Linked DNA regions of Zea mays. Each later gene encodes a partner of the first gene's protein in a complex. Links are inferred from orthologs where the notes say so. Each region holds a gene or a part of one and is shown on either strand. Other genes may lie near its edges. The genes, in order: Photosynthetic NDH subunit of lumenal location 4, chloroplastic; Photosynthetic NDH subunit of subcomplex B 5, chloroplastic-like; oxygen evolving enhancer protein 3 containing protein.

Evidence for each region.
Region 2: Photosynthetic NDH subunit of lumenal location 4, chloroplastic (region 1) and Photosynthetic NDH subunit of subcomplex B 5, chloroplastic-like share a complex: the UniProt entries of both Arabidopsis thaliana proteins name them as parts of the chloroplast NDH complex. The link is inferred for Zea mays from reciprocal best matches to the Arabidopsis thaliana genes PnsL4 and PnsB5.
Region 3: Photosynthetic NDH subunit of lumenal location 4, chloroplastic (region 1) and oxygen evolving enhancer protein 3 containing protein share a complex: the UniProt entries of both Arabidopsis thaliana proteins name them as parts of the chloroplast NDH complex. The link is inferred for Zea mays from reciprocal best matches to the Arabidopsis thaliana genes PnsL4 and PnsL3.

Annotation. Positions count from the first base shown.
Region 1 is NC_050100.1:216,378,141-216,388,139, reverse strand, and holds Photosynthetic NDH subunit of lumenal location 4, chloroplastic, read right to left. Parts: upstream 5,580-9,999; 5' UTR 5,561-5,579; coding exon 5,171-5,560; intron 4,975-5,170; coding exon 4,882-4,974; intron 4,780-4,881; coding exon 4,719-4,779; intron 4,612-4,718; coding exon 4,543-4,611; intron 4,421-4,542; coding exon 4,353-4,420; 3' UTR 4,308-4,352; intron 4,230-4,307; exon of another isoform or gene 4,188-4,229; 3' UTR 3,913-4,187; downstream 1-3,912. Other genes in the region: uncharacterized protein LOC103627751, read right to left, coding at 9,258-9,435, 9,983-9,999. UniProt on the Arabidopsis thaliana protein: NDH shuttles electrons from NAD(P)H:plastoquinone, via FMN and iron-sulfur (Fe-S) centers, to quinones in the photosynthetic chain and possibly in a chloroplast respiratory chain.
Region 2 is NC_050098.1:158,245,761-158,256,074, forward strand, and holds Photosynthetic NDH subunit of subcomplex B 5, chloroplastic-like, read right to left. Parts: upstream 6,329-10,314; 5' UTR 6,286-6,328; coding exon 6,016-6,285; intron 5,799-6,015; coding exon 5,744-5,798; intron 5,584-5,743; coding exon 5,515-5,583; intron 5,425-5,514; coding exon 5,366-5,424; intron 5,150-5,365; coding exon 4,913-5,149; 3' UTR 4,759-4,912; downstream 1-4,758. Other genes in the region: putative transmembrane protein kinase family protein, read left to right, coding at 2,471-2,621, 2,731-2,912, 3,101-3,227, 3,310-3,381, 3,485-3,668, 3,800-3,920, 4,032-4,295. UniProt on the Arabidopsis thaliana protein: NDH shuttles electrons from NAD(P)H:plastoquinone, via FMN and iron-sulfur (Fe-S) centers, to quinones in the photosynthetic chain and possibly in a chloroplast respiratory chain.
Region 3 is NC_050102.1:1,242,367-1,251,925, forward strand, and holds oxygen evolving enhancer protein 3 containing protein, read left to right. Parts: upstream 1-4,667; 5' UTR 4,668-4,764; coding exon 4,765-5,071; intron 5,072-5,158; coding exon 5,159-5,547; 3' UTR 5,548-5,655; downstream 5,656-9,559. Other genes in the region: uncharacterized protein LOC100280976 precursor, read left to right, coding at 1,298-1,478, 1,622-2,058; vegetative cell wall protein gp1, read right to left, coding at 3,833-4,435; kinesin-related protein11, read right to left, coding at 6,002-6,163, 6,246-6,350, 6,457-6,561, 7,839-7,920, 8,417-8,616, 8,706-8,867, 8,992-9,101, 9,205-9,328 and 1 more. UniProt on the Arabidopsis thaliana protein: NDH shuttles electrons from NAD(P)H:plastoquinone, via FMN and iron-sulfur (Fe-S) centers, to quinones in the photosynthetic chain and possibly in a chloroplast respiratory chain.

The DNA.
Region 1 (9,999 bases):
ACATCAACTAGGATATTGCATATCCTTTTCCCCGCCTCAATTGCCTCATCAACACCCTTAGGGCTGGTTTGATGGACATGGAAATGGAGGGGATATATGGGGAGGGATCCCCTTGTTATTCAAAATTGAATAGTAAGAGGATCTCTCCCCCATGATCCCCCTCCATTTCCCGGTCCACCAAACTAGCCTTTAGGGTTAGGGGGACATCGACACATCCAGTAAACAGGTTCTTCTTATTTCGCAACGATTCTCTATGTCGTATCAGAATGAGCGCACTTTCACCTACAGGTGCATGAATAAAAACCTTATAACGTCGGTGGATTAGTGTTTTCTAGAACAGTTTTGTGACCAGTGCACTGATCAATGGGACTGAACTTAAGAACATGCCTGATTTCTTTGGAGTTAGGACACTTTTAGGGCTCCCCGGTAACTGAACCGTTCAATCACTGAAGATTGAGAGTTTGAAGCACAGACTAGACCCAAATTACGAGCAATGGGGCAGCGACGCCCTACTGAAACAGAAAACACACAGCTATTTCTCCTATCAGGATGGAAGCAGCCTGTGGACAACAATTTGGTGGATGAAAGCGCATGGTGGGATGTGGAAGTGGCCATCTGTTCCAATACATACCACAAAATTAGTTGAATTCTTACACATACCACAAAATTAGTTGAATTCTTACATAGCCAGCTAAGGGCTCAAATCCCCAACCGAATTGAATGCAGCGAGGTTGCAAGAGACTTTGTAATCACGAAATCTTGTTCATTCTAAGAGCAAGTTTAATAATAGAGCCTATTGTTGGCCTTAACTCTTTATCATGTCATACATAGTCAACAATAAACACACTCATATAATAATGCTGACTCTAAGGTTGGCTCTTAGATGAATTTTTTGTCTCTTTCATCTTTTTGTCTTGAAGCCCATGGATCACCTAGCTCTTGCATTAGAGTCAACTTTCTCTACTTTTTGATATCTCTTTCTTCCACGTAAGCAAAAGTATCATGTAAGCGGGCTTAGAGTCCATTATTGTACTTGCTCTAACATTGAGCGAACGAGAGATAAAATCAATTTTTTAAAATAGGGATCATTAGGATAGCCACTACAAGCAGCAACAACATGTAGATAGCAGCAACCGAATCCAATTGATACATCAAACAATTAGCACTAAGCAGAAGTAGGGTAAAGCACGAAGATCGCAAACCTGGGGAACCAAGGACGTTGAACCCTGGTAGAGTAGCGCCTAGGCAACTCGTCAAGGAGCGGACGACCCGAACGGTAGAAACGATCCCGACGAGATCTGTGGTCACGGAGATCGCTAGTGAGCGGCGACAAAACGTAGGACCAAGGGGCGAAAAAGGACCGGTTGTTTGCGGGCTCAGTGGGTCGTTCTCCTGACTTCTGGTCAGTTTTATAAAATGTGCGTAGTTTAAAATAGGAGATTTGAACAGAGTAAAATTTAAAATAAAGGATAAAATATAAAATTTAATGGAGATATCACCTATAGTATCTCGTAACTCAAACTTTACTTTATAAACAGTGTTATCTATAGTTATGCGTTCTCTATTTTATACTATCCACTAAAGATAGCCTAAATAGCGACCAGGACCGAGAGAGGCGACGGAAGATGGTTTGGTTCGTGGTGCATATGTTGTGCAATGGTGGAATGGCGTGGGTTGCTGCCCAAACATCATATTGGGAGCTGTTGAAAAAATATTATCCCTAAAAAACTAAACTCACATTAAAATGCTAATAAACAGTTACTTAAACTTTTTGTTGATAGACGTTGTCTACCCATCGGTCTTTGCGCTTGCTGTCGTCGGTTCTGCTCTCTGCCAGGAGCTGCATGCATGGACAAGGCTAGCCAGGGCGGCATGGACGACCTCAATGCTAATAACTTGTTTTATTTTGCAATTGTCTGCACTGCTGGATGTTCACTCAATCGGTTATGCTTAAAATGGGAGGCTAACTGATCAATTGCTTAAAGAAGGAGCTGTTGGAGGGTTGAAAAGACGTTATTTTCTCTAAAAGCATTTTTGGGTTGGCTTGTGGGTTTTTGGGTTGGCTTAGAGCAACTTTAACAGACTATGTATATAGTTTTGTAAAGATAAATTTAGCTAATATTAGAATAAAATTGTATCCATTAAACTCTGTAAATGACTCTTCAAATTTAGTGTCTCTTCATCCCTCTATCTTCGCTCTCTATTTTTGGATAGTGTGCTTCACTCTCCATTTAATCTGTAAATTTACTGAGGTTGTTGGATTACCTACACTTTTTCTGTAGAATCGATTTTATAGAGTAGCTAAATCAATAAATTTGACTAGCCTTTTTAGCTAATCTCTTGGAGTTGTTCTTATGGGTTTTCTTATAGAGTGTTTGATTTGAGGAATTAAACCATTCAAATTGAGGTGGTGCATCATGAGTTCATTCCTCAAATTTGGTGGAATGACTCTATTCCTCATATTAGTACTAACTAACTATAAGAAATGGGGTGGTGATGGATCAACTCATTCTATTCCACAAACCAAACAAAAATAGTGAGAAGTGAGAAGATGATAGACTAGCTCATTTCTCAAACCAAACACCCCATTAGAGATGCTCTAATGGCTCAAATTTTCAGCTTCAACTTACAACCTATAGGAGTCACGAGAGTTTCGGTTTCCTGCTGTTTCTTTAAATATAGTTTTGTTGGTCCGGTCGTCCGGATAAAATATTACAGAAAACATATATAAACTTCTGTGGTATGGAAAAAAATGTTCAAGGTGAATTAGTGATACTAATTCAAGGAAGCAAATGATGTACATCAAAGTTTGACTAAAACTAATTCAAAGGCGGAGTATATTTTTTTAGACATTAACAAAGTTTGACTTTATTTGGATAAAAACCTAAACAAATACAGTGTATGTTCTAAACTTATGCGGAGATGTTTAGCGAGTAAAACAATGGGTAGTTTGTTGAAACCGCGCTTGGCTGCAACTGGCATCTCACGAGCAACAACAGCCTCTGTTAACCTGTTCCTTGCTGCTCTGCAGCTAGCAATAGGCGCACCACCTTCTGTTGCTCAACATCTCTGCCCTTCCATTGTCGACAAAGCGTTTCTTAGAGACCGTTTGGCAGGCTCTGGTTTTTCTATATAAAAAAGCAGAGCTCTCTCAAACACTATTTTTTAAAACGGCTACGAAAAGTACATAAAAGTCATAACTATTTTTGTACTACACATAAAAACCACAAATAGTAGCTTTAACAAATTTAGCTCTAACTCTATCAATTTAATACAGGAAAATGATTCTGGCTCTAAGATAAACCGTTTCTGTCAAACGGTTTATGAAATGGCTTCGGCTCTACTAAAAATGCTGTTTTTATTTTTTAGAAAAAAACCCATTATTTTTAGGCAAGCCAGAGCTCTATCAAACAGGCCCGAGGAAACAGCTCTCGGCGCTCCCAGGAACCACCAATGACATAGAGCCAAAGAGGTGAGGTCAAATTGCACTGGAACTTTTTTTAGTACCTATAACCCAAGCCCAACCATCCCAGTGATGTGACAGTGATACTCTCTCACAAGCAAAATAGTTTCCCGATCCCGATGTGGCGCTCCAACGGCTAATGCGGCTTGGTCCTATCTTACGCTTTCGCTTCTGCAAATCTACGTCTTCACAACCCATGGAAATGGTGCCAGTGGTTTAGCTTCGCCTTTGTTGCTTCAGCAGCCTCCCCAATTCAGGCAGACAGCAGAGGCGGGCACCGTCTGAACCGGTCGATGAGAATTTTTGCTCCAAGCTACTACGGGCACACATGTGTCAGGCACGAGCGCGAGACCTCTCTGCACATCCGAATCGTGAGTGTTTAGTCGGCATGATTGATCGAATGCTGAAGGGTTTGACGCCATTCGCCAGTCACGCTGACAGTCTGACTGACACAAACAAATTCACGATTCCGTATCGGCTGTGCAAGCAAAGCTGGTGGCGCATGTGACATACACCTCCGATAACTTGCTCGCTTTGGCTGTATCAAACTGCTATATAGTCAACAATATGATTGGTCTTTACAAAGTTCCACAATGGCGTTATTACGTAACAAGGATGGTTTATATATATCATCATTTTATTCAATCCAGGTAGCTCTCTGGAGTACAGAAGCTTCTGCAAGTGGCTCTGCCTCTGCAGGTGCTTTCACCGCCAAGAATTCCTCCTGAAACCCTCCATGTGTGACACACGAAAACGATCGGTTACTCTGGAAAGAAGGACGTGAGTCACAGAAAACCAGGCGAGTTCAGAATAACGCTGTGCACGGCACACATATCAGACAGACCTTGTCTCTGCTCTTAGGTTCTGAACATTCCCTGTCATCGAGGGCTCACTTGTAGATCCCGACGAGGAAAAGGTCATATAGAAGTGTGGAGTTTCCGGGGATGTTGCAGTCTCCTGTCAAAAAAAGAAAAACAAAAGAAAAAACTAGAGAAGCAGTCTCCTTGACAATTCTAGAGCGAGAGCAGTTTGCTTATCTATGGTGTACGAAGTCATTTAGCGCAGTTCTGAAAATCGACCTGAGAAGCAGCCTGCCGGTTCAGGCCCGTACGCCAGTGACGCAGGTATCATCAGCTTGCGCTTTCCACCTGAGGCAGGTTTGCAACGGAGTCATCAGTCATGGAACAGCAAGCCAAATTAGCAAAGCCTCTATATTTAATGCACAGCTAAAAACTGCTCAAGTTCCTGTCCGTACCAACAAGCATGGGCGGCACACCGCCGCCGCCACTGATCCCCTGTTCAAGCCCTCGGAGGATCTGCACGCGGAGAACGCGAAAGAAACAGACCATCATTTTTTACTGGCATGAAAACTGAACGTCGTTTTCAGTGAGCGACAATGGATGCTTATACATGCACACCTTGCCTGCGCCTATGCGCATCGTCAGTGGCCTCCCGCGCTTGTAGCTGCTGTCGAACAGCGTACCGTCGGGAAATCTCGCGGTGTAGTGCACCTGATGACCATCGAGAGGACGAATATAATTAGGATCCGAAGCAAGCAGCACACAGAACGCAGAACAGGATGGCGGCATATGTTGCTGAGTTACTCGTGCAGAAGGGAAATGGACCACTGTACTATTACAGAGTAGGTTAAGTCAGAGGAAGGCGCAAGGCATGCAGGAAAGAAGAGACGGTGGTCTCGGTACTGACATTGATGAGCTCGCCGCGCGGGGGCTGGACGCCGGTGCCGACCTCGACGTCGCAGTACGCGAGGCCGGACTTGACGAGGCTCAGGTCGCACATCTTGTCCCCGACCGTCGCGTAGTACTCGATGCGCGTGGCGCCGGCGTCGCCCGCCGGGGACAGCAGCGCGGCCGAGGCCAGGAACCCGGCGCCCAGCGCCAGCAGCCCCCTCCTGCCCGCCGACGCCGACGCCGCCACCGGATGAGGAGTCGAGGAAGTGGACGGCGACGAGGACGACGCGGAGCCGCAGGGCGCGACGGAGAGCGCTCTGCCGCTGGTCTTCGGGAGCGGCGGCGGCGGCGTCGGGATTGGGCTGGACGCCATCAGAGACGACAGGGACGTGATGGGTGGCGCCATGGCTGCTTGTGGAGTGTGGATTATTATCCCCAGACTGTGGCTGCAAGGCGCGCAGGCTCGGGTCTTTATAATGACGCCCCGAAATTCGTCGCGCGGAGGCAGCATGGGCTCTGGATGTTTCAGCCGGCCACTGCAGCAGCAGGCCCGTGGTTTTACCGGGCCGAGCCGCAAGTTTCGGGACAGTCTACAGCCCACGTAGTTTTCTTATTTTAATCATTTTCTAAATCAATTTCTAAAAATTAACATCAGAGTAATTTTGTTTCTAAAACCAACCCGTATGACCGTGTAAATCTCCCTGCCGCGGACAAATACGCTGATATGCGACCCCGTTTGACGTGGCAGGTCGTGATCGATGACATGGCAAGTGTTGTCTGTTTTGATTGGATACATTTCAATGCACTTCAACCCCCTCTTCCAAGAGTATCTAAACTAGGCCTAAAATGCTTGATGGTCAAAGGTTTTCTCTCAATAAAACGGGATTAGTTTACACCATAAGAATATCGAGGTGACCTTTATAAGTCGCAAAACTACTTTTGTGAAGGATAATGATGGGTTCCGGTCAAAATGCAAGCAAGTTATGTACTAATGCAAGCAAGTTATGTACTTATAGCAGTACTGCAAGAACAAGAATAAAGGTACACCTTCTATTAAATTTGATTCTTATTATTTACTTGCAAAGTATACTATGGTATAAAGACAAAATTTATTAGAATATCTCTAATAGCTTATCCATCTTCATCTCCGTATTCAAATTTCACTCCACAGATAGTGCAATCTACTGTGCATAACAGTGTTTTGGATAACCATGTGAGTAACTGCTAGACACGATCTTAGTGCATCTATTATTGTTCCAAAGAGGAAGATAATATGGATTGCCAAAAGTCTAGTAACTATTTAGAAGAACAAACAAGTTTGGGTATTAAAAAACTTTTTTTAGATAAATTATAAGGCTCAAGAAAGATATTTAGGATTTGACAGTGGATACACACACTCGTCACCATCCTATAATTTACGTCGCTAGCTGCGGCCACCAGCATCTTTTTTTTTTCCTCACGTTTTGATGATATAACGACACAACGCAATACAAAAAGTGAACCACTTTGCCTAATGCCAACCAAAAGTACAATATAGGACCTGGTTAAGATAACAGCTGATGGGAAAAATCTACACCAATTTTTTTGGGGGTGCAGCTTTCAGCTGTCAGGTGCAATCATCTTTTAATCTCGGCACCGTAGAAGTGAAAATTTCGGAGTACCTTCTCTCCCATGTTTTTTTTCAACTGCATGTATAGTAGTCGGCTGCCTAGTCGCCTGTTTGGCCGATTTTTTTTGCATTTTGGCTCTTCCTCGGAAAAAAATTCACGATTAGACCTTATAAAAATTTAATGTCATTTCGACTGTTTGTACATGTTGTAAAACCTGGCATGGAGTCCCTGTCCCGGCTGGCAAACCAACTAGTAGCCTACCCGTATTTTTTTTGGATGAGTCACGCCGGAACTAGAAACACTGAAGCAAATTTTTTGTGCCAGTGTGATTAGACAAATCCTCGTACTACTTTAATCTCAAACAAAAACACATTATAAACTCGTTGTGAATGTCGTATTAGTACTCCCATTGCGCATTTGTCTATGTACTCCCATTGCGCTGCGGCTGCGGGTAGCCAGGCCCTGTCTGACAAGGAAAGGATCTAGCGAAGAGGATTAAATTAAACAATGGGACGGTTTCCTCATCAACGGCAGTAGGCGATGAAGTACGTTGCTGGGCATTTGACTCTGAGAAACAGAAGAAGTTGTTGTCAGCCGGAACCTCAGTTATAGCTAAATCTTAGTTGTAACTTTCCGCATATCCAACTTCACACATATTCGAATCTACGTCGTCTAGATTCATCTTGTTTGTCTGCCGACCACAAGACGACCCTATGATCTTACCCATTAGGGGAAGCAAGATCTAGTTGTCCATTCGAGATACACTACCTCAACTGTCTTTTAATTACTAGATGACTCCACATCGGCTAATGACGTACCGGGTGGCTGTCGATCTGGAGTATCCTAAGATATCTCTCCTAGGGGCGAGATCTAGATTCCAAGGAGGAGAAAGACGAACCCCCGCCATCGAAGACAGTCCGGTGCGATGCAGGGAAGGTGTCGCTCCTGCGCCCAGGTCGCGGACCGTCCATCACAAAGCCGCGGACTGTCTGTGCCACCTCTAGGGCACCGTCAGACAGTAGACTCTTAGTGATCGGTGTCCAGATCGGCGCCAACACATTTTTTAGGTAAAACAAAGTGTTTTCGATAAAAGATTGGTAAAACAGCTTCATACGGAGAGAGAAATACATAGATAAGATTGAGAAATAAGAAATTGAGACATGAAAACCTTTTTTTGTTTGTCCCTTTCCCATTGTGTCAAAAAAAAACTTGTACTGTTTTTATAGTGTTTTCTACTGTTTTATGGTTTTTTTTATCTTTATGGATTACATCTGATCTTTATGGATTACACCTGCAGCAGTCCAAACAACCGTCTTTAATCCGAAGCTTATAGTTAATGAAATAGTTCATAGTGTTTCGTACACCACAACAAAGTTCTTTTTTTTTCTTTCTATTCCTCCGTTTCCATCCGTTTGTTGTAAACATGCATTTATTTGGTCCGCTCCGCCCCTTGCTCTAGCTCAGTAGTCAGTAGCCCTCCAGATCGCGTTTCCCATGTGTCGAATTCTCAGTTTCCAGGAGGACGATAAGGATCCCGGACGTGACAAGCCAATTGTCAAGCCAACCGCTGTTCATCAAAGCCCCAAAGTAAACAGTGCCGTGCTTTTTACGCCGTGGAAAGCACCAGGTCCATGGATGGGTCACTCATGTAGGCACTAGAGTAGGCGCGCACATGTGTAGTGTAAGGACTGTTGGTGCTCGGTCATGGCCGGTCAAAAGCTCGTGTGAGTTAGGCTGTGGCGGCCACCGTCGTGTCGTGTGTACTCGCGCGTGTCAGCAGGCCTGCCGCTGTTGCGGCGGCCGTGCAGGTGCAGCACAGCGGTGGTTGCTCTGCTCCTGCCAGGTGGGGCGACCGACCGACCGATTGATTGCATCGAGAGATTGATCAGATCACGGGCGTCTCGCTCTCCCCTGGCTCTAGGGTCTAGGCCATGCAGCCAGGATCACACCGTCTAGAATGTGCAGTGCCGCGCACGACAACACCACGCACTTGTCACCACACCACACTGCCAGGCCAGACTAGACTGACGAGCTTGCTCTCCTAGCTGGGACTGGGTGGGAAGGGAGCATATTGTCAAATTCTGCAGCACAGGCACAGGCGCACACAGCCGTGTCCGCTTGACAGCACAACATGTGGGAAACCAGGACAGACAGATGCCATGGCGGACGAGAGTCTGTTGTTGTTGGCTTGTTGCAACCCGGGTACCTGCCTTTTTTCTCTCTCTCTCTCTTTGTTTGTTTGTTTCGACAGACAAGAGGGGCTATGTTTCCAGAGTCACATGCATCAACAAACTATAATAATAAATCACTGACGCATGCATCACTGCCGGAATCCAGACTCCAGAGCTAAAAGCTGTATGCACAGGCGCTCTATAGCATGGCGGAATCTACCGGGCCGGGCCGACCGATCGGCCGGCGTCGCTGCTCCCGCTCCACCAGGGCGCAACAACACACACCCCGCCCGCCCCCTTGCGCCACTCCCCCGGGGGGCTCCTAGGCGGCGGCCACGGTCTCCCCGCCGCTGCCGGACTGGTCGGAGCCGCTGGCGCCGGACACGGACGGGGCCTCCTTCATGGAGGTCACGGAGCAGGTCTGCTCCATGCGCTCGTCGAGGTCGTCGTACTCGATCTGCTTCTCCCGGCACTCCTGGCTGCAGAATGCCACCTCGCCCCTGCACGGCACGGCGCAGACAAACAGAATCCAGCTATCATGTCATGTCATGTTACATTACATCATCCGAATTCAGGGAGAGAAAAACAAACTCTTTCAACCAAGAGGTGGATGAGGGACCGTGACAGCTGATTAAAAAGAACTTGTGAGATAGTATACGGTTCCAGGTGACGAGGCTTACATATCATAATCAAGCGACAGCTCGTTTGATTGGTCACCTAGTATGTTTATGTGCCTCATAATGTAAAAATGTGTGTGCACACGATGCAGCATCAAACTACTCGTGAACCGAACCAATAGAATAATTGGAAATAAATACAGGCACCGAAAGGAAGATTCGCATCAAATATTCCTTCCACCAAAAAAAAAATACTAGAGGGAATTAGATTCACACACACTCAGCGAGTACTGTGACAGCTGATTAAAAAAAAACTATTATGTGCCTCATAATGTAAAGTAAAATAGGGGCCATGAATATGAAGGGAAAAGATGCGATCCTAAGCAAAAAAAAAAAAAAAACAAAAAAAAAAAACCACGCCGACTGGAACCTGTAGATGAAGGTGTC
Region 2 (10,314 bases), on another chromosome or scaffold:
GTGCAGGTGCAGCGGCAGCGGCAGCATCCCGTCTGGAAAAGCGAAAATCCAGCGGCAGGGGGGGCAAAGGGAGATGGAAAAGACGAGTCCTTTTTTTTGTTGGTTTTTTTTTCTTTTATCCGATCTGACGAGTGATGAGCGAGCGAGCCGACGGACAAGGCAGCTTGCCAGCCGCGCCCCCATCATGTTCTTCTCTTCCCCGGCAATCATTGGCTCGGCTCCCCTGCTGGCGGCGGCGGCGGCACCGGTTCATCGGAGGACGGACTATTATTTAGAATATCTGTATATACAAATCTTGTGACACGAATGAAGAATCGACGGCCAGTCTGAAAAAAAAACGATGCGTCGGCGCGGTGTCGCGGTCCTGGCGAGTTGTCGCCTTTGGATCAATCATTGGGAGATCCATCCATCCATCCAATTCCACTTCTTATACGATCCCACCACGCTCGAAGACGCGAGCAGCGCAGAGCCGCCAGCCACCATTCCTGGCTGGGCTGCTTCTTCCTTCTACATCTTTTCTGCTTTCTTTCTTTCACCCGCAACCGCAACCGCAACGGCCGCGCGCCAAACCAGAGTTTTTTTTTCAGCATCTTCCGCTCCGCTTTCCGCTGATGTTTACAGCTCAACCCTACCAGTATATATACCGACATGTTTGTGTTGATTTGCTGCTGGTTTCCCAATTCCAATCCGCCCCCCGCTGGTAAGTGTGCTTTGCTGTTCTTCACTTCACTCTCTCTCTCTCTCCCTCCCTTTGTGGGCACTCCCCTCCCCTCCCCCTCTGCCTGGTGCCTCCCTCCCCAAAAATACCTCCCAGGCCATCTCACCTCGCTCACAGAATCACTCACGGTCACTTCCTCCACAATACAGCAGGAGAGTAGCAGGGGGTTGAATAGGTTACCTTGCCTGATTCTTCTCACTTGCTTTGATTTATGGAGTCTCACTTGCTTTGATTTCGAGACTACCTGTTTCTTCTGACTGGTTCTATTTCTCTTTGGTCGCGATGGCGTAGGAGGAAGAAGACGGGGCGGAGTCAAGAATTGGTACAAACGGAACGTGTTGCCTGCAGAATGGATTCGGCATTTGACCCCGCTGTCGTGCTCGCACGTACATGATGCCTCTAAACCAGAGCCATCTGCTGCAGGTATGGTGTACATTTCTGCCCCCGCCAGCGAACTCTGCGATTTTCTGTATCGAAATCGGTTCGAGTTCTCTGGAGCGTGAAATCATGTGTTGTTTTCCGGCTTACCATGGTGCCTGTGTTGTTCAGGAGGAGTGCTGAATTTCGATTGATCGCAGGGGGGGGGGGCGATGAACGAACCGATCAGCAACCCTCATTTGATTAGTACTTCATTCAATCTGTTATTGCTATTACTGAGTTCAGGACTCAGGTAGCAGTCGATGCCACATTGTTAGATTGCGATCTGCAAAAACGGTACTGGTTCGTAAATAAAATCAACCCAACGTGTACACGCACAGCTTCAGGCTGGTCCAAGCAAAAACTGCATTCATGTTTTTGCCTGTACACTGCAGCGTACTCATATTGGTTTCATCAGTAAGAGGGTGCTTATGGGTGCAGAATGCCATAGTGAAAGATGTTTTATTGCATTGCATTTAGTTAATAACATGCCATTCAAAGTATTGTGGTAAAATTTCTTCTGACCCGGACATGGCGCGGAAAATTTGAACGGTCCTATGGGAGAATTATACCGGAAAAGAGAAGGGTATGCGTTACTAGTAGCTTCCCCCGAACTTGCTGGTGCCATGATCAAAATGTGCTTTCCCAATTTAGCCACTGCACGTTGCCTCATAATTTCTAGTTTTTCGATATCCGACAATTCCCCGTTTTTATCGTTTGGTAACATAATTGTCTCTCTTTTTGCCAGATTTATGCGTTACTAGTAGCTTTGTCCGTAACGCCATTTTCATGATCATGATCAAGATGCGTTTTCCGAATTTTGCAGTTGCACTTCATCACAAAATGTCCATTTTCAGAATGTTTTCTGTTTGGTAATTTAATTGCCTTTTTCCATATTTATGCATTACTAGTAGAGCCATCCGTAATACTGATGTCATGATCAAGATGTGCTTTCCTAATTTTGCCACTTGAGGGCAACAAAAAAAATGATGCATATGCAAAGAAGTATATTTTTCCCCAGCCTATGATAGGGCTAGTTTGACCAATCCATGGTATCAGTGTCAATATATTATATAGCACTAGTAATTTAACTTTATCTATTGATCAACCAACCCATGTATACATGTTTGTTATATTTATCCACTATCTGAATTGTTTTCTAGTTCATTGGCTGGCATAACCAGCAATCTGTACATTCGCGTTCTTCCTTATGAATTCAAATATAAACTCGAACAAATTTAATGAACTACTCTTTAGGTTTCAGATATCTGCAGATTTCATCACCACAGCTACAAAGATTACTGCGCTACTCTGAAGGAGGATATCCAATACTAGATGTCAGGACTTCTTGCAGAAGCTCTTGGAGCTGCTGCAGGAGGATGTGCACTACTACTTATTGTCATAATTATAATAGTACTTTGCCTACAGCATCGCAAAAGAACCTCAGACTCTTCAGAAAGTGGTTTTTCAGATCAAGCTCTACCAGGTACTGCTTAAGTTACTTTCAATAAAACTTTAAAACTTCAGATAATTCATCTAAAGATACATCTTTCTTTCTATTTTCATAAGTAATAACTTCGTCTTCCACCTATCAGAGTCGCAGGAAGCAAGATGTCTTAGTTTAGAGGAATTGAATTTTGCTACAAGGAATTTCAGCAATGGCAACCTTATTGGACAAGGGACGTTCGGAGAGGTATATAAGGGTTTGCTCCAGGATGGCACAATAGTAGCTGTTAAAAGACGGCATTCTCCTCCTAGCCAGGAATTCATTCAAGAGGTAGCATAATCTTCTTACTTATCCACATGTTCAGTAATTTCTGGTCCCGAATTCGTCGAATGTGCTGTGTTTTAACTTTAGTTTTTTTTCCACATGACGTCCTGTTATAATTTGAAACATAGCCCAGCTTGCTCCACACCCTTCTGACATTGTTTTGAGCTCATGTGTCAGTGCTGTTTTCTTGTCAGGTTAATTATCTAGCATCTCTCTGTCATTGGAACCTTGTAAAACTTTTGGGGTACTGTCAGGAGGATGGCATGCAGATGCTTGTTTATGAGTATATCTCCAATGGCAGCGTATCAACACATTTACATGGTGATTTCCATTGCGTTTTTATCTAACTCTAATGTACAAGAGTAGTGTCATAGGTTCTAATTTTTCTGCTATACTTTTGTAGGTAACAGCCATGCTCTAGGTTCAAGGCTAGAATTCAAGAAGAGACTTTCTATTGCTCATGGCACAGCTAAAGGTAAGCCTTCACAGCATATCGGCTTAGACGCATTCTTCTGTAGCAGTGTCCTTGTGGCAACTACATCAACAATCTTAAATGGCGATATTTTCTTGCTATCCAGGCCTGAGTCACCTGCATTCGCTGACACCCCCTGCGGTCCATATGAATTTCAAAACTTCTAATGTACTTGTGGACGAGGACTTCGCACCAAAAGTTGCAGATACTGGGATTCCAGGCATGCTTGATCGACTTGGTGTTACAGGACTGTCTTCCAGAACATTTAATGATCCTTTCGTGGAACCTCGGTAACAATGGACACACATGTTTCTGATAGTTCTTACATTCATTGCTTACATCAGATAGATACAGTAGAATCATCTGCCTTGAATCTGCTTTGCATTATTTAAGATCGATGGAACTTCTGTTGCATGATCAGAATGAAGGAAGCTATGAACTTGAACTTTTCCATACAAAGCGATGTGTACAGCTTTGGCGTATTCCTTCTGGAGCTAATTAGCGGACGGAAAGCTGTCTCTGATCAATGCATCATTCAGTGGGTAAATAATGGCATCACTGCTTGATGCTTGATGTTTGTCCACCCTTCTCTGCAAAATAACATACCCGTCTCTGGACAGATCTTTTTACTCGTCTGTTCTGTTGATGTGCAGGCACAGAGCTTCCAGGAATCAAGTGACATCTCCGTGATCGCAGACAGCAGAATGGCCGGTGGCTTTACCTCACAAAGCATGAAGGAATTGCTGAGCCTGACAGCACGGTGCGTAAATCCGACGAGCGAGCAGCGCCCGTCGATGAGCTCGGTGGAGGCTGAGATACAACGGATCCGCGAGCAGGAGATCAGCCTCACAGCAGTCATGGCGGAAGGTACCCCAACCGTGACTCTAGGCAGTCAGCTCTTCAGAACATCCAGGTGAAACAAACATCAGTGGGATGTGTAGTCTAGAAGAAAAGCTAGTTCTCTCCTCCTCAGGGCAGTAGACCAGCCTTGTTCTCTTTCGGAATTCGGGAAAAAAAAGAAGAGCCCGTCTTCATAGCGAGCCAGCTGCATCCCAAGTGTAAAAAAAAAAGAGAGGAAACAGCTGCGAGGCTTACCCTTTTTTTCTCCCCAGTTTTGTTACCCTGATGGTTCCTTCCTAATTCTCCCTTTTCTGCACATGTTTTTAGGGGAATTAATGACATTTTCCTTTTGTTGAATAATAATAAGAATGGGTGGGTGGTGGCAAACCAGCGGCTCTTGATTGTTCAGCGCATCAGTCTTGCATGTGTTTTTTTTTCTCTTCCCTTCAAAGTATTGGAGAAAACATGAAAACAAAGGCAATTCATGCAGAAAGTTGAAGCAACAGTCTGCAGAACATGTCGTGTATTATATGGCACGAGGATAGAACAGATTTTCAGGCTCTCCAGTCTTACAGGAAGGATGGCTTTCCTTTTTATTCAAGAGATTTTCCTAGCAGCTACAGCTTCCTTTCACAGGGTTTTTTTTGCTGTGAGGCAACAATCTGAAGGGCAGCGAGCGGTGTACGCAATGCATCTAGGTCGACTTGACGATGTCGTCCCTGGTGTTGACGGTGAAGTCCCAGAGCTCGCCGTACTTCTCGTTGAAGTCCCAGATGTCCATGGAGTTGTAGTCGGCGATGAGCTTGTCGCGGGCCGACCTCTCCATCATGTAGATCTCCGGCTCGAAGTTGTGCGGCTTGTCGGGCTTGCCCATCTCGATGACGCAGAACACCACGATGAAGACGGCCGCCCCGATGTACAGGTACTCCCCCTGGCGACACAAGCAGACGCGTCTCCGATCCGATCAGTAGATGCAGGTGACGAGTTTTTTTTTTTTTTTTTTTTGGGGCACAAATGCTTGGAGCGCAGGAATTTCACAGGAAACAATTCACTTTCCCGACAGAAAGCACAATTCACTTCCGACCAGGAAACTTCGTGTTCCAAACAGGGGACTAGGTACTGGGAGGAGGAAGTGCTGGATCCTTACCGGCACATTGAAAGCCATGCCGAGGATGATCGCAGGAGGAAATGCCCAGGAGATGAGTGCTGCAAGAGATCGCCGCCATTGATGCAGTGCAACAAATGAGCAAGGCAGAAGCATAAAGATCTGAAAGAGCTACACAGTAGTGGTAGTACCTTGAAAGCCCTGAGGAGGCTCAGCTTCTTGGTACCACTCGGAGACATCCTCCCAGAAGCCCTTCTTGTCTTGGGAAGAAAAGCGGGGGGTGTTGCGGTTGTTTGCAGGTTTTTGTTTCACCACAGCACAAAACAATCAGTGGACTATTATTTCTTTTTCTTTTTGCAATGAAGGATATCATATCATGAACAATGGAGTTCTTATTTTTTTCTGGGAGGATAGTAATACCTTGGCCTTCGAAATAGGTGTGGTGTCCGTCATACTTCCCGTACTCGAAGTCCTCCTGCAAGACAAGACAAGACAAGACAGATCCTCTCCAGTGTCATCCACGAACGAACGAACGAAACGTACTCCGTTCTTCAGAGCTCTCGTTCATAGCACAACCTACGTCAAGGTTCACTGCTTTCCTGCGTGTTCCTAGTCTAACTAACTAAGCGCGGAACGACAACCGAGAAGAGAAGAGAAGAAAAGGAAGGAAACGAGGGACGACGACGACGGACCGGGCTGATGCCGTTGGTGCGGTACACGTCGATGGCGTCCTCCTCCAGGTCCGGCTCGATCTCCGACAGCGGCCCAGGCCCGGCCCTCACCACCACCGCGCCGCCGCCCGGCCTCCTCCCGACACTCGAACGCCGGCGGCCGGCGTGCAGCAGCTGTGGCCGCGCCGCCGCCTTCACCCTCAGCTGCTGCGGCGCTGCGTCATGGCGGCGCCGAGCGGTGCTGGGCGCTGCAGATGGCGAGGCAGAGATGCCGGAGGACAGGCTGCTCATTATCTCGCCGCGGTGCTGCGATCGCTGCTGAGTGGTGACTGGTGAGTGCTCCAGCCCCCGCTGCTGGCTGCTGCTGCACTTCACGTTGCGGCCAAGAGACAAAAAAGCAAGCGGATAATGGTGCGCTGGAGTTGGACACCTACCGTCCAGGATTTTTCCGCTGTCTTTTCCTGTCCCTTTTTTCGTTTCTGGAAATAATCAGCTCATAAAAACTCGGTACGATTCTGTGGAACTGAACACCTACGGACGTCCCACAGTAACCCCTCCCCCCGCCAAAAAAAATCGTGATTCTGTGCGCTATATTTGTAAGAAACTGTCGCATGTGCTTTGGTCAACGGACACCAACAAAACAAGTGAGAACTCACTCTTTGTAGGATTATCTGTAACCCTGTCCTTTAAATTTTTCCATGTATATGGAGTGGTTCTTTCTAAATTCTCTCATACACTACACAACGATTTTTTTATAGCGACCTATGGTTGGTTGCTAGAACGTCTTCATCAACCTAGGGTTTAGGGTTTAGATATACACAGTTAATTAGTAGTACAATGGTGCTATGTTTACAAATAAATATACAGTACTAATTTGCATGTAAAGCTCTAACTGAATTCTTACCAAGCATCAATGGACACTAGAACATTTGGCGGCCTTGGGGTGCCCTCGAGATTGCGATGTCACAAGAAGACCCGCACATGACATTGTTACAGATCAGATCCTTAAGCCTAGTAATCAACAAACCAGTTTCTTAAATTAGTATTATACAAAAAAAATGCAATTGCTCCCAGTTCTTTTGGTATCAAGACAACATAGTCCCCCATCTTCATAGTAAGAGAAAAAAAGGCTAGCATCACTGCATCAATAAACTGCCCATGCATTTTTTTTTACTGTAATCGAACGATGAGTAAAGCTCTGACATCACCAGTACTCTACTCGTGAACGCCTCGAAGCCCTGCCTCTGTCCTTACCAGTTGGCGGAGAGTCAATGTGACTCAACTTCAGTCTGGAAGGTGAAAATAAAGCAACAAGACACAAATAAAATGAAATCACGTTGCTGCACTGAAAATACAGAGATGATTTCGTGCATAATCTCTCATACCGAACGTAGCAGAGCTGTCGTGGTACTCAACGGGTGGAGTAGCAGAGCTGTCGTGCTGTGGCATGCTGTTGGCGAAGACGAGAAGAACCAGACAACAACTCTGTGCGGATGGATAGCGGATGAACAACAACACTCCACATTTACCGGTCGTCGAGCTGCCGCTATATTTTAGCGGACCATTTGCCGGTTCTTGCTGGAGCGATAGCGGACACCGAGAAACGCTAAATATAGCATACCGAACGCTTTAGCGCCCCTTGTTGGAGACAGCCTAACACTACCAAGCCTCTCGATTAGAAATGGTAACAGATAAAGACCTGCCGGGTTTTGCTACCCCAGACTCGGTTCCGTCAAACTAAAAACTCGCCACTCTAATACCCCTACTTGTGCACGGATACAATTTCACACTCATACACGTACTCGTGTGGGTATTTTTTATCCGATGAGTACCCATACTCAATAAGGAAAAATGCACAAATATAACAAATATTAATAATACTATCTCTGTATTTTATTTGTCGCCTGTTAGTTCAAAAATGAGCTAGCGAATGAAAAATATTCGAGAATAGAGGTAATATTAGGTCTTTAATATATATATATTTAGAGAGTAATTGTTCAACCGCACAATTGTGTTGGGACTTCTACTCAGGTTGAACCGAGTATAGGTGTGAGCAGTGAGCATGCTGGTGGCGTGCGTCCAGAATTGGACGCTTCGTGCTTCGAACCTTCGACGCTTGGACTCTGACAAATCAATAGGCTAGGCTAAAACTCAAGATAATTGTTGGTTATATTTCAGATATATTTTTACTCACAGGAATACAGATATAGGTTAAATGAGTATGCAACTGAACCCGCTCTACCTGCTGGATCCATGTTAAGTGCATGGATAAAGTATAGTTTTCCCCTTAAGACGCGGATGAAGAAACGCAGCTGGGGCCTTGAGCACGGAAGATTGTTGGCCGCGGATTGAGGAATGCGGCTGAGCAATTGATCGATTGCTATGAACTGGGAACGAAGTGGAAACGCGATATCTCCGGTTACAGATCCGCAGTGTTCGTTCGTCTCTTCACCGGCCGGTGGTACCGAATTTTTTTGTATTTTAGCCCTTAAACAGAAGTAAAATCACGTTTAGACCTAAAAAAATTTTAAACTCAGTTTTGGACCCTTAGCTCGGCGCCATAGGCCATGGCGCCGAGCTAACACAGCTCGGCGCCACAGCCTATGGCGCCGAGCTGTGACGTGGCATCAACGGCTAGCTCTGACGTGGTGCCGTAGCTCGGCGCCACAGCCTATGGCGCCGAGCTATGACGTGGCAGCAACGGCTAGTTGCGGCCCGGCCTCGTAGCTCGGCGCCACAGATCTTGGCGCCGAGCTACAAATTCCTATAAAAACGCCCGCGCGGCTGGCCGAGAGCAGCTCATTTCATCCCATTTCCAAACTTCGTCAAAATTTGCTGGATTCAAAGATTTGAGTTGGTTCACTTCGTAGACCAAGGTATGATTTCCAACTCATTCGTTTTGGATATTGGGTTGTTAGTTTAATAATTTGTATACACCTATTATATTATCATTTCGATTATTAGTTTGTGTAAACTTATTATAAAGCATAACAGGTACAGGTGATAATTATAATCGTTTATTAGATGAAAGACATGTACCGAGAGGCGTTGTGGCAGAAGAGAGGTCGTCCTCGGGAGTTATATCCGGACGTATCTAGCAAGGATGCTCCTGTTCCTCCTGAACTCCCCGTGCCTAACTGTGACTGTGGCAGACTGTCTTGGGTACATCAATCACAACATCCAGACACGGCTGCTCGCTGCTACTACCTTTGTGGCACTTTGGACGTACGTAGCTTATGACTTGTCACTTAATTTTGTTCGCATTCATTATTTTGTAGATATGTAATAGTGCATCTTTCCATTATTTTAGGGACATCAGAGGTGTTTCTTTTTCCAGTGGATCGATGGTCCTGATAAATTTGACCCTCGATATCTTCTTTTCGTTAATTGGTTGAGTGGAAAGACCAGTCATGAGCGTTTTAAGCGTTGGGTACCTCCTCCCCCGAATCCTCCACCAATGACGGATGCGGAGAAGGAGGTAGCAACAGAAAGACATGGTCACGATCTTCCATATGTAATATGGGACAACAAACCCTGAATTGATATGCGGAGGAGGTAGCAACAGAAAGATAGATGCTTATGGGAGTGTTACTTTTGATGGTATGAAGATCGTGACCATGTTGTTCGTTGAAAGACCATCTTTTGACCAGCTTTTGGCTCGAGCTTGTGAGGAGATTAGTTGCGACATAAACGACCCTAGAATATCAATTCAGGGTTTGTTGTCCCATATTACATATGGAACAGTTGTCCGACGGTATAGTGTTACTAGGCTGTCCATCTATTGCAAAAATGGATTACTAACTCAATAATGGCTACATACTTAAGCCTACTAACGTACTAAGTAATAAATATATATTAACTAATAACTATAGAGTAAATATTAAATGAACACATCAAACGAAATTACATAATCTATAAATAATGTACGAAGACATTGTATACCTGAGAACGCGTACGAGTCAAGCTAACGGTGGAGAAGGTCAAGTCGGACGAACACCTACGTACAAAAAAACCTATTGTCAGTAAAAAATTTGGCAGCACCTCCCCTGTAAAGTGATGTTTATAGAACCTGCGAATAAACGACAACACGATGGTTGCCAACAGAAATACTAACGAAATGGTTAACACGATGGTTAACACGATGGTTGCCAACGAAAATATGTAATATCAATAGCTAACTAACAATATGTTAAGCACTAACAATAACAAAAAAATATGCTAAGCACTAACAATAACTAAACAATATGCTAAGCACTAACAATAATTAAACACTAACAATATGCTAAGCACTACAATAACTAACAATAACTAAACAAGAAA
Region 3 (9,559 bases), on another chromosome or scaffold:
AACATATGCAAGGGCAACTAATCATCTCACACGAGAGTAGACAAGCTCACAGTCTGTATGTGATAAATATCAAGGTCAATATCAAATTCATGCTACAAATAGGAAAGGTATGAATATTAGTCACGTTGGAAGAGTTAAGCATGCAAAGATCAAGCAATACTGATGTTATGGTTAGGATGTGGTCAACAACTCAGCCGTGGTCAGCAGCTCCAATTTCCCTACTAGCTAGGATCGGTTGTACGCATCCCTCTGGGGATCGGCTGGACAGCCACCTCGAGTAGCTTGTCCAGAACGCTAGCTCGTTTGCAAACCAAAGAGAGCTAGGGTTAGAGAGAGGAAATGGGAGATTCAGAGCCACCAAATCCATAAATTTGAGAGTGATTTGGGGATCTAGAGTCTCCCCTCACTTGTAAGCTCCCACCTCTTATATACTTCATCTTTATAGTGGAGTTTTGCTCACCGCTACCTTAGGTTTTCTCTCCGCAAGAAGTTTCCCACGTAAATCTCTGTGTCTCTACTTGATTGGATATTCTACTTGTCATATGTACTAATTGTTCATCATATTGCTTGCTATTGGAGCTATCCTCAAGTTTCTTGGTGTATGATCATACTGCTGAACAACGTGTTCAGGGAATTGCTATTGACAGCTTAGCGTGCTGCTATTGGGGTCACTTCCGCTGCACGCCGGCCCTCACAGGAAGATATGAAACATTTTCCAAGAGTTGGAGTAGACAGTAGAAGGAAGACACCGATCGATGCTGGGGTGGGGTGGGGTGGGGGGACAGTGGGTGTGGCAGCCATGAACGCGGCGAGTATTGTTTGCCGAACTTGGCGCGTTCCAACGCCAGACTAACATGGAGACCTACCTACCTATCTGTCTGTAAACAACCATTTATTGCCTCGCCGACCGACGACGGATGGATTAGAATATGCAAGCAAGCAACGTACATGGCGGAAGGAAAGCCCAACAGCTAGCTGCAACAAGGTCAAAAGAAAGAATTGCCGCGTCTGTCTCTCTGTCTGTCCGGCCACCGGCGCCACCAACCCCGGCCGCGTTAACCGTGCATGCATGATCAGGCGTAGCCTCTCTGAGGCTCCGACGACACCTTCCTTTGCAATTTGCCCCGGTTCGCTCCATCTATATAAGCCAGGCCACCCAGTATGCTGGAGCCACACAAAACAAACAAGCTTCGGTTCTCCGTAGCGACTGCGCTGCAATCAGGTCGTCGTAGTACGTAGGTGTTAGCCACATACGCATCAGGAAGCTAACGAGAAGATCAGATCGGAGGTAACGGCAATGGCAATGGCCAAGGCCAGCATCCTCGCCACCTTCGCGGCCGTGGCAGCTCTGGCGGCGGTGCAGCTCGCCGCGGCGGCGGACCACCCCGTGGGAGGCGACGGCTCCTGGGACGCCAGCGGCACCACCGGCTACGACGCCTGGTCCGCCAAGCAGACGTTCAAGCAGGGCGACACCTTGTGTAAGTTGGCTCTCTCTTCTGTCTTCTTCTCCAGCGCAACAAACATGCTGTCAGTCACAACTCACAACAAACAAGCAGTAGAGAGAACTGACGACGCCGCTGCCGCTTCTCTTGTGATGCACGCTGGATCTCTGCCGCCGCAGCGTTCAAGTTCGCGCCGTCGCACGACGTGACGGAGGTGAGCAAGGCCGGCTACGACGCCTGCTCCGGCAGCAACCCCGTGAAGTCCTACACCGGCGGCAGCGCCTCCGTGAAGCTGTCGGCCCCAGGGAAGCGCTACTTCATCTGCAGCGTGCCCGGCCACTGCGCCGCGGGTATGAAGCTGGAGGTCACCGTCGCCGCCGCCGCGGTCACCGCCGCGCCGGCCCCCGCCAAGACGACCAAGCCCCGGCACCAGAGGAGCGTCTCCCCGACCCCGGCCCCTGCCGCGGCTCCGGCTGCGCCGTCCACCGACGAGATGCCCACCGTGTCCTCGCCCACCGCGGCGCCGGCGCCCAAGTCCTCTGACGCCTCCACGCTTGGAGCCAAGGCTGTCGTGGGGCTCGCCGTCGCCACGATGCTCACCTTCTTGGCCATGTGAGGGCGAGTCGTGCTGCGTGACGCGCATGATTTTTGCAGATAAATGTATTATATACATACATATATACTCCAGCGATTCATTATTGCATTGCATTGCATTGTCGTCAGTGCGGCGCACCCACCGACGGTTGTTGCTGACAAGAGTTCATTTAATTGCCGGCCTTTTTTTTATTCGATTGTTAATTATACTGCTACGATGTACTTACTACTTGAATTATTAGTGTATTTGTTGTCACTGTTGATCATCCAATAAATTTATCATTATTATTCTTCCAACACAGTTGGTATTTGGTGATCACGACCTGTATTTAAGGTCTGAATGATATATGTATGCTCACAAATGTCTTGACTTCTTAAAAAATAAATGATGAGTACTACTACTACAGTACTACTGGTACCGAACAATCTTTTTTTTAGCATTGTCTGACAGTAGTGGGTGCGATAACATGCTCTCAATTAATCATGGTTGTTATAATGCATCAAATATATCTTAGTTATAATGCTATTAGAACAGTTATATCAATTAGCACGGAACGGAAGTCCTTTGATTTGAAAAGGGGATGTAGTGGACTCGGGTGGTCTTTTGATTTGGTGCACGTCGTCCACATGGGAAATGGTGCGCCGTCAATGGAGGGAAGGCCAGCAGCCAGCACGGAACGGAGAGGACAAGAGTTGGCTAGCTGGTAGTGGCGGCGTGGTGGTCAAGGCAGTTGCCGGCGTCCGTCCCCGTCCCGTACCGCTCGCCGCGGTCACCACCACCAACCCCGGCAGGCAGACATGGCAGTGACCAAAGGCCATGCACCCTCGCCGTCGTGGCTGCCATGACTTCTGTGCATCGACTCAGCTGTAGTGTAGCTCTGTGCATGTTGCACTCCACATATTTCACCAAAACCCATGCCACTGCATTCTTAACCTTTTATTGAAAAACATTGTGCATGTCGAAACTGTTAGAATATAATGTAATTGAATTGACAACATCTTCCTACCATGCTTAAGTTTTTTGGTTGAGATGATCGGTGCAAGGTCCACCGACCGATCGGTGAATCGACTGCTGACGGCTGTTCCTGTAGGAGAATATTTCTAGGCATAGCTCCCCTTCTGTTGTTGGCTCTTCTCTTGTCTCTTTTAAGCTATGGTCAAAAGATCACGTATATGGTCGTGCAACATAGTGAAGTTTAAAATAGTGAAGTTTAAAATGAGAAACCTGTAGATAGCCTTAATGCAATTGTATTCACGTTTAGAGAGAAGCACCGCTGTCTTGTGCTCGGCTCGATAGATGCAGAGTGGAGGGTAGATCTGTGGAGCCGCTGCAGGAGCTGGGGAATCTCTCTCCAACGGCCCAAGGTGGTCAACAGCAAGTCCATGGTCAATTCATGTTAATCCAGCCGACATGCAGAGGTGAAAGGGCAGTGATTCCTAGTACTGCTACACACTGAATTTCGCCGCGAAACGCTAGAGAATTCTTAGGAAAGAATGCAGATTCTGCACAGTACAACAAACTGTAAAGAGAACAGCAGAGATTAGGTTTTTTTGTTTTATTTTTTAATTTTTGACAAGAGAAACGCGCGCGCGCGCAGGCTGATTCTGTGGGATCCTGACGGCGGCGACACTGAAGAATTCAACAAAATTGCACCTGAATTAGAGATGGATTAATTATAGGATAAACTGAAGAAACAGTACATCAGCAGACGGCGGCGGCTAAACTCCTCTACCAAATCCACAGCTATTGCCCTGCTCTGAGACTGAAGCAGTCGGCATCTACGACTACGATTGAGTCAAGACGCCGTTGGGCTGGGCGCCTCTGGGGCGGGCGGCGGCGCATCAGGCGACGGCAACGCAGGTGGTGGAGGTGACGGCAGCAGCTGGTCCGGCGGCGGTGGCGACGCGATCTCCGCCAGCGGCGGCGGTGGTGACGGGAATGCCGGCGGGGGCAGCTGCTGCTCGGGAGGTGGGAGCACGGGCACCGGCGGCGGCGGTGACTGGAATGCCGGCGCGGGCAGCTGCTGCTCGGGAGGTTGGAGCACGGGCACCGGCGGCGGCGGCGGCGACAGAGGGGTGTCGGGCACAGCCGTCGGCCGTGAGGGCGGCGGCGGCCAGGCGGCGGCGTCCGGGGAGGGAAAGGCGGGATCTTGCGCGGGCGTGGGCGTGGGCGGCGGGCGGGCGGCCGTGGCGGGCGAGCGGTATGCGGGGTCCGTGTCGGGCAGGACGGGCTGGCACGCGTCGGCGGCGGCGCACGCGGACGATGCGGAGGCGGGGCTGGACTTGGCGGCGCGGTGGAGGACGGCGCGGAAGGCGAGGACGACGCCGACGACGGCGAGGGCGGCCAGGAGGGCGAGGAAGATCTTGGTGGCCTTGCCCACGTAGCAGCCGCCCCGCATGGCTGGCGGCTCTGGCTGCTCGTCCTGTGTGCCTGTGTCTCGTGGCCTTCCTTGGTTTGGTGGTGGTTGATGGCTGGTGGGGCGGTGGTGGCTGAGGGAGTGAGTGAGTACTCAGTAGTGGAGGAGTGATCCAGATTTGAATCGTACCAAAAATTACAGGCCAGGCCAAATTCATCTTCAACTGCAAACCTCATCAGGAACGGAAGGATGTCGGAACGGCCAGCAGCCGCTTTCTTCCTTTTACTTTTTTCTGATATTTCTATCGGCTACGATCTCATGCGTTAGCGAGTGCCGCCCCGCCCGCGCTATCCACTCGTCTCTCCGTCCCCATGGCCACTTATCTCAACGCACCGCCGGCAGCCACCACGACGACTGCAAGCTGCCGCCATGCCTTCTCCGGTGGCAGCCTCCGTCTACTCCGGCCGAGCCGACCGACGCTGCACGTGACGTGCCAAGCCGCCGCCTCCTCCCAGCAGCCGTCGTCCCCGTCCAGGAGGTCAGCCTGCCTCCTCGGCATCGCGTGCGCCGTCCTGCTCCGCCCACGTGCCGCCTCCGCCGCCGAAACCGACGACGAGCCGGCCAACAACGGCTGGTGGCTGACCGAGTTCCCCTTGCCCGTGCCCAAGATCGTCAACAGTAAGCCGTCCCGTCCGTCCTGCTCCATCCACCACTTAACTTTACTTGGTTCACTGACAATTGTGTCGGCGATGAGTGGCATGGCAGAGGAGATCAACAACGCGGAGACGGGCACGCGCTCCTTCCTCAAGAACGGCATCTACATGGCGGACATCGGGCCCAGCTTCGCGGCGCACGCGTACCGGCTGCGCAGCACGGCCTTCGACCTGCTGGCGCTGGAGGACCTGCTGGGCAAGGACGCCTCCAACTACGTCAACAAGTACCTCCGCCTCAAGTCCACCTTCATGTACTACGACTTCGACAAGCTCATCTCCGCCGCCGAAGACAAGCCGCCCTTCGTCGACCTCGCCAACCGCCTCTTCGACAGCTTCGAGACGCTCCAGGAGGCCGTCACAGCCAAGGACGACGCCAGGATCGGCGACCGCTACGCCGAGACAAAGCTCATCCTCCAGGAGCTCATGGCCAAGATGGCCTAGCAGAACCACAATTTTTCATTCATATATCATGATGTGTAAATGAATACTTGAAACTCACAAGGGGTATTGCAGAATTCCCAGAGCAGGGAAATACAATTATCATGTCAGGCTGTGTGCGTGTCCGACAACGGGTACACAGTTGTTTACATACACGCCCAGCTCAGCTCAGAGGCATTGGGCATTGGGCAAACGACAAATCAAGACTACGAATGAAAGCAAAAAAATTGAAAATGGCAACACATCCCAACATACAAATCAGATCAGGTCCTAAGATTAATATAATAGGCCAGCACACCCACCGCTGCCAGCCGTTAGCGCAATCAACAAGGCCACAAACCAAATAAAATTGGCAACTCACACCACCTCCAGACAAGGGGATGCAAATGATCGGTTGCATCACCAAATCAACACACACACAAGCATTACACTGGCAGCTCGCTTCCGCCGTATTTCATCATTGTGAGCTCCGCATCTGGGTTTGGCGCCTGGGGATCCCGATCTCACAGGAGTTCACCCTTGCAGCAAACCGCAATGAGCAAAGAGACTCCCCTGTCGAGGACGCTTCAGGAGACAGATTCACAAACATCAGTGTCTTCGAGTCCCCTCCGAGACACGGCTGTGTTGCCAAAAGCATCAGTTAGTACTTGATACCATTTAAGATTAAACTTTTAGCCGAAACCAATGTGTCGGAACAATACCTGGAGCAGATATGTCAGCTTTGAGTTCCGAAATGGAACGTGTTCCTCTTTCTTTGCAATCGAGAAGATGACATCACTTAAACATGACAAGCTTTTGTTGATAGCCTAAAGCCGGAACAAAACCATCCTTATTATTCCTCCTTATATACAAAATATATATACATATAAGTGAAAAACACAAACGATGCTCAAGTACTAGATAGCAAATTACCACTGTCTCTTTCAACCGATCACCCGTGGCACCACTTTTGTTCAGGCGCTCACTGCCTGCTAGATCTATAAGATTCAGCACTCCTTGCACTTGTTGATCCGTTCCCTGAAAAGAAAATGGGTCAGCTATAGACGAGAAGACAGCATGCCAAACAACGTCACATGTGAACTAGAATAGCTGCTTTGTGGCATGGGATTCAGTCACAAGACCTTTGAAGTATGGTGGGCTTGGGATCCCTAATTTACAACACATGTGTTGGGCCCTTCAAGCCAAATGGCTTTGGCTTCAAAAAACAGATCGGGATAGGCCTTGGCTTGGCTTGTCCATCCCCATTCAGCAACATGTTAAAGACCTTTTTGCTGCATCCCTGATTTCTCATGTGGGAAATGGCTCTAATACCTTGTTCTGGACAGATAAGTGGCTTAATGGATGCTCCATCAGAGATCTTGCTTCAGAAGTGGTGTCCAAGGTGGCTAAGCGAGCTCTTACCTCTATGACAGTGGTTCAGGCTCTTGAAAACAGGCAGTGGATTGCACATATCAACCCCCCCCTTTCCTTGATTGGAATTCAGCAATTTCTTTTCTTATGGGATACTTTAGGAGATGTGCAGCTTTCTCAGGAGGAAGACCGCCATGTTTGGAGACATGAGACATCAGGGGTGTTCTCCTCTAAATCCTGCTACAAGGTCTTTTTATTAGGTTCTACTGTTTTTGAGCCTTGGAAGAGATTATGGAAGACCTGGGCTCCTCCCAAATGCAAGTTCTTTCTTTGGTTGGCAATAAGAAACAAATGTTGGACAGCTGACAGATTACAGTTGAGGGGACTGCCACACCCAGATGTTTGCCCAATGTGTGATCAAGTCCAAGAGACAATTCAGCACCTCCTTACTACGTGCATTTTTGCCCGGCAATTTTGGCATACAATTCTTGCTGCTATTGGCTTGGGGCATCTCACTCCGACTGCTGATGAGGGAAATTTTTCAGAATGGTGGGGAAAGGTGTGCCTTAGAGTTACCAAGACAAGGAAAAAGGGACTTAACTCTCTGATAATCCTGGGGGCTTGGTGCCTATGGCTTCAGAGAAACAGAGCAGTGTTTCATGGGGAGTCTCCTTCATTGCCCAGGATTCTTAGATGTTTCTCAGATGAGTGTGTTTGCTGGGTTTTAGCAGGAGCTAAGGAGGTCGGTAGTATGGGCTTAGTTGCTGCCCTGGGCGAGGTCGGGTCTAGTTTCAGTACTTCTATGTAATTTCTTTCGGAATTTTGTGGGTCTTTGGGAGATTTGCTTTGCAACATCTCCTCTTTTGTAATGTTTCTCTTCCTCTTTATTATATAAGATGCGCAGTTCTCCTGCGCGTTCTCAAAAAAAAAAACTAGAATATTACCTCATTTACACCGAAAATCCGAAGAGTGAAAACACAGTGACTTCTTGATGATTCCTCATTCATTTGTGTTCTACCAACTGATCTGAAGACAAAATGAATAAACGACTGTTTTAGGTCCAATGTGCCACTCAATTCTAAGCTCTGGAACTCGAAAAAGAAGTTTGAGAACACAATGGCAGAGATATGACAGAAACCTGAAGGTTATGCCATACAGATTTAAGAAAATTAGCTTCTATGTTGAAAAAAAAACAAAGTAGTGTGGAGTACATAGTGAAGTTGAATAGTGAAGCAACTTAAACTTGAGCTGATTATCTTCAGCATCCAGATTTACTTTTTGCTTAAGAAAATATCAATCTGCACCATGTTCTATTATAACTTATTGAGAGTTGATCATAACCCTATAATGGGAGTAGGAATATAATGTAGTGACTTTACATAGCTACATCATATACTACATCAGCTGCCAAAAAATTATGGCACCCAAAGAAACACTCATCATCAGTTCAAAATTTTCCTATTACATACTCTTAAGACAAAATACTTAATACTGAAACTTTGAAAATAAATAAGAGTGTAACCTGCTCTGAGCAGCCCGCCTAAGGAGAGAAGAAACTTCGTTGATACTAGTTACGTCAATGATCGTAAGGTCCGACACATTCGTGTTACCATTAGTATCATGCTTGATACTGTACTTTGAAGCACCAACATCCTGAACAGCCATGCGATTCGTTGCTAGCAAGTCGCGTATAGTCTCGTTGTAAATCTCCAACATTGAGGCCTGAAAGTTTAAATTACACCATGATAACAGTTACAGAAAACTTGTCCACTGGTTAGTTCAATTAAATAAGTAAATTACCAAAAACACACCTGCATCTTATATCTCCAACCCTGTGAGTTAAGTGTCTGGCTAGCTTGAAAAATTTGCTCCAGAGATCGTGGTATCATTCCTTTTTGATCTTCTAACTCAGGGTTGCCCATCATTGTATATGTTTTACCAGAACCAGTTTGCCCATAGGCAAATATGCAGACCTAAATGGTTTACTGGTTTTTAGTTGCATTCTAAGAAAACTAGATATTGGAAAACGAACCAAAAAAATCATAGTTACTAGAGTTAGAGAAGGTAATCTCAGTTATAGTCATACAAATGATATACCTTATAGCCATCTAGGGCACTTTGGACAAGTTGAGATATTTCTATGAACACATGTTCTTGTGACGCCGAATGATCAAATACTTTATCAAAAGTAAACGAATATCCCTGTGCTGAAAACAATAAGAAATGCAATGCAATTGTATCATAATTTGTATTCTCAAATATAATATATCAAATTTAAAACTAGAAAAATGACTGTAATGATGACTATACCATTATGTAACAACTCAATGCCTCGGCCTAAGTTTTCTCCATTCTTTGGATATGATACTGCTCCTGATTCATTTGGCAGCAAAGGCCTAACTCTACAAAATACTCTGATGTTTCCCTTCAACTCCTGCAAAGAACCAAATTCAGGAATAGCCACATAACATATATTTATATAAACTGGATCTTTGAGAATAAGAGAATTCCATACAAGAATTGTATTATGTAACTTTTTTCGTAAATTCTCTCCTTCCAGAATTGTTTGCTCGGCCTCTTCAAGGCGAGACTGAACACTTTCCAGCATTTTCTTCATGTTCTCATACTCGGTCATGGTTTCCGAGGCCGTCATATTAGACCTCTG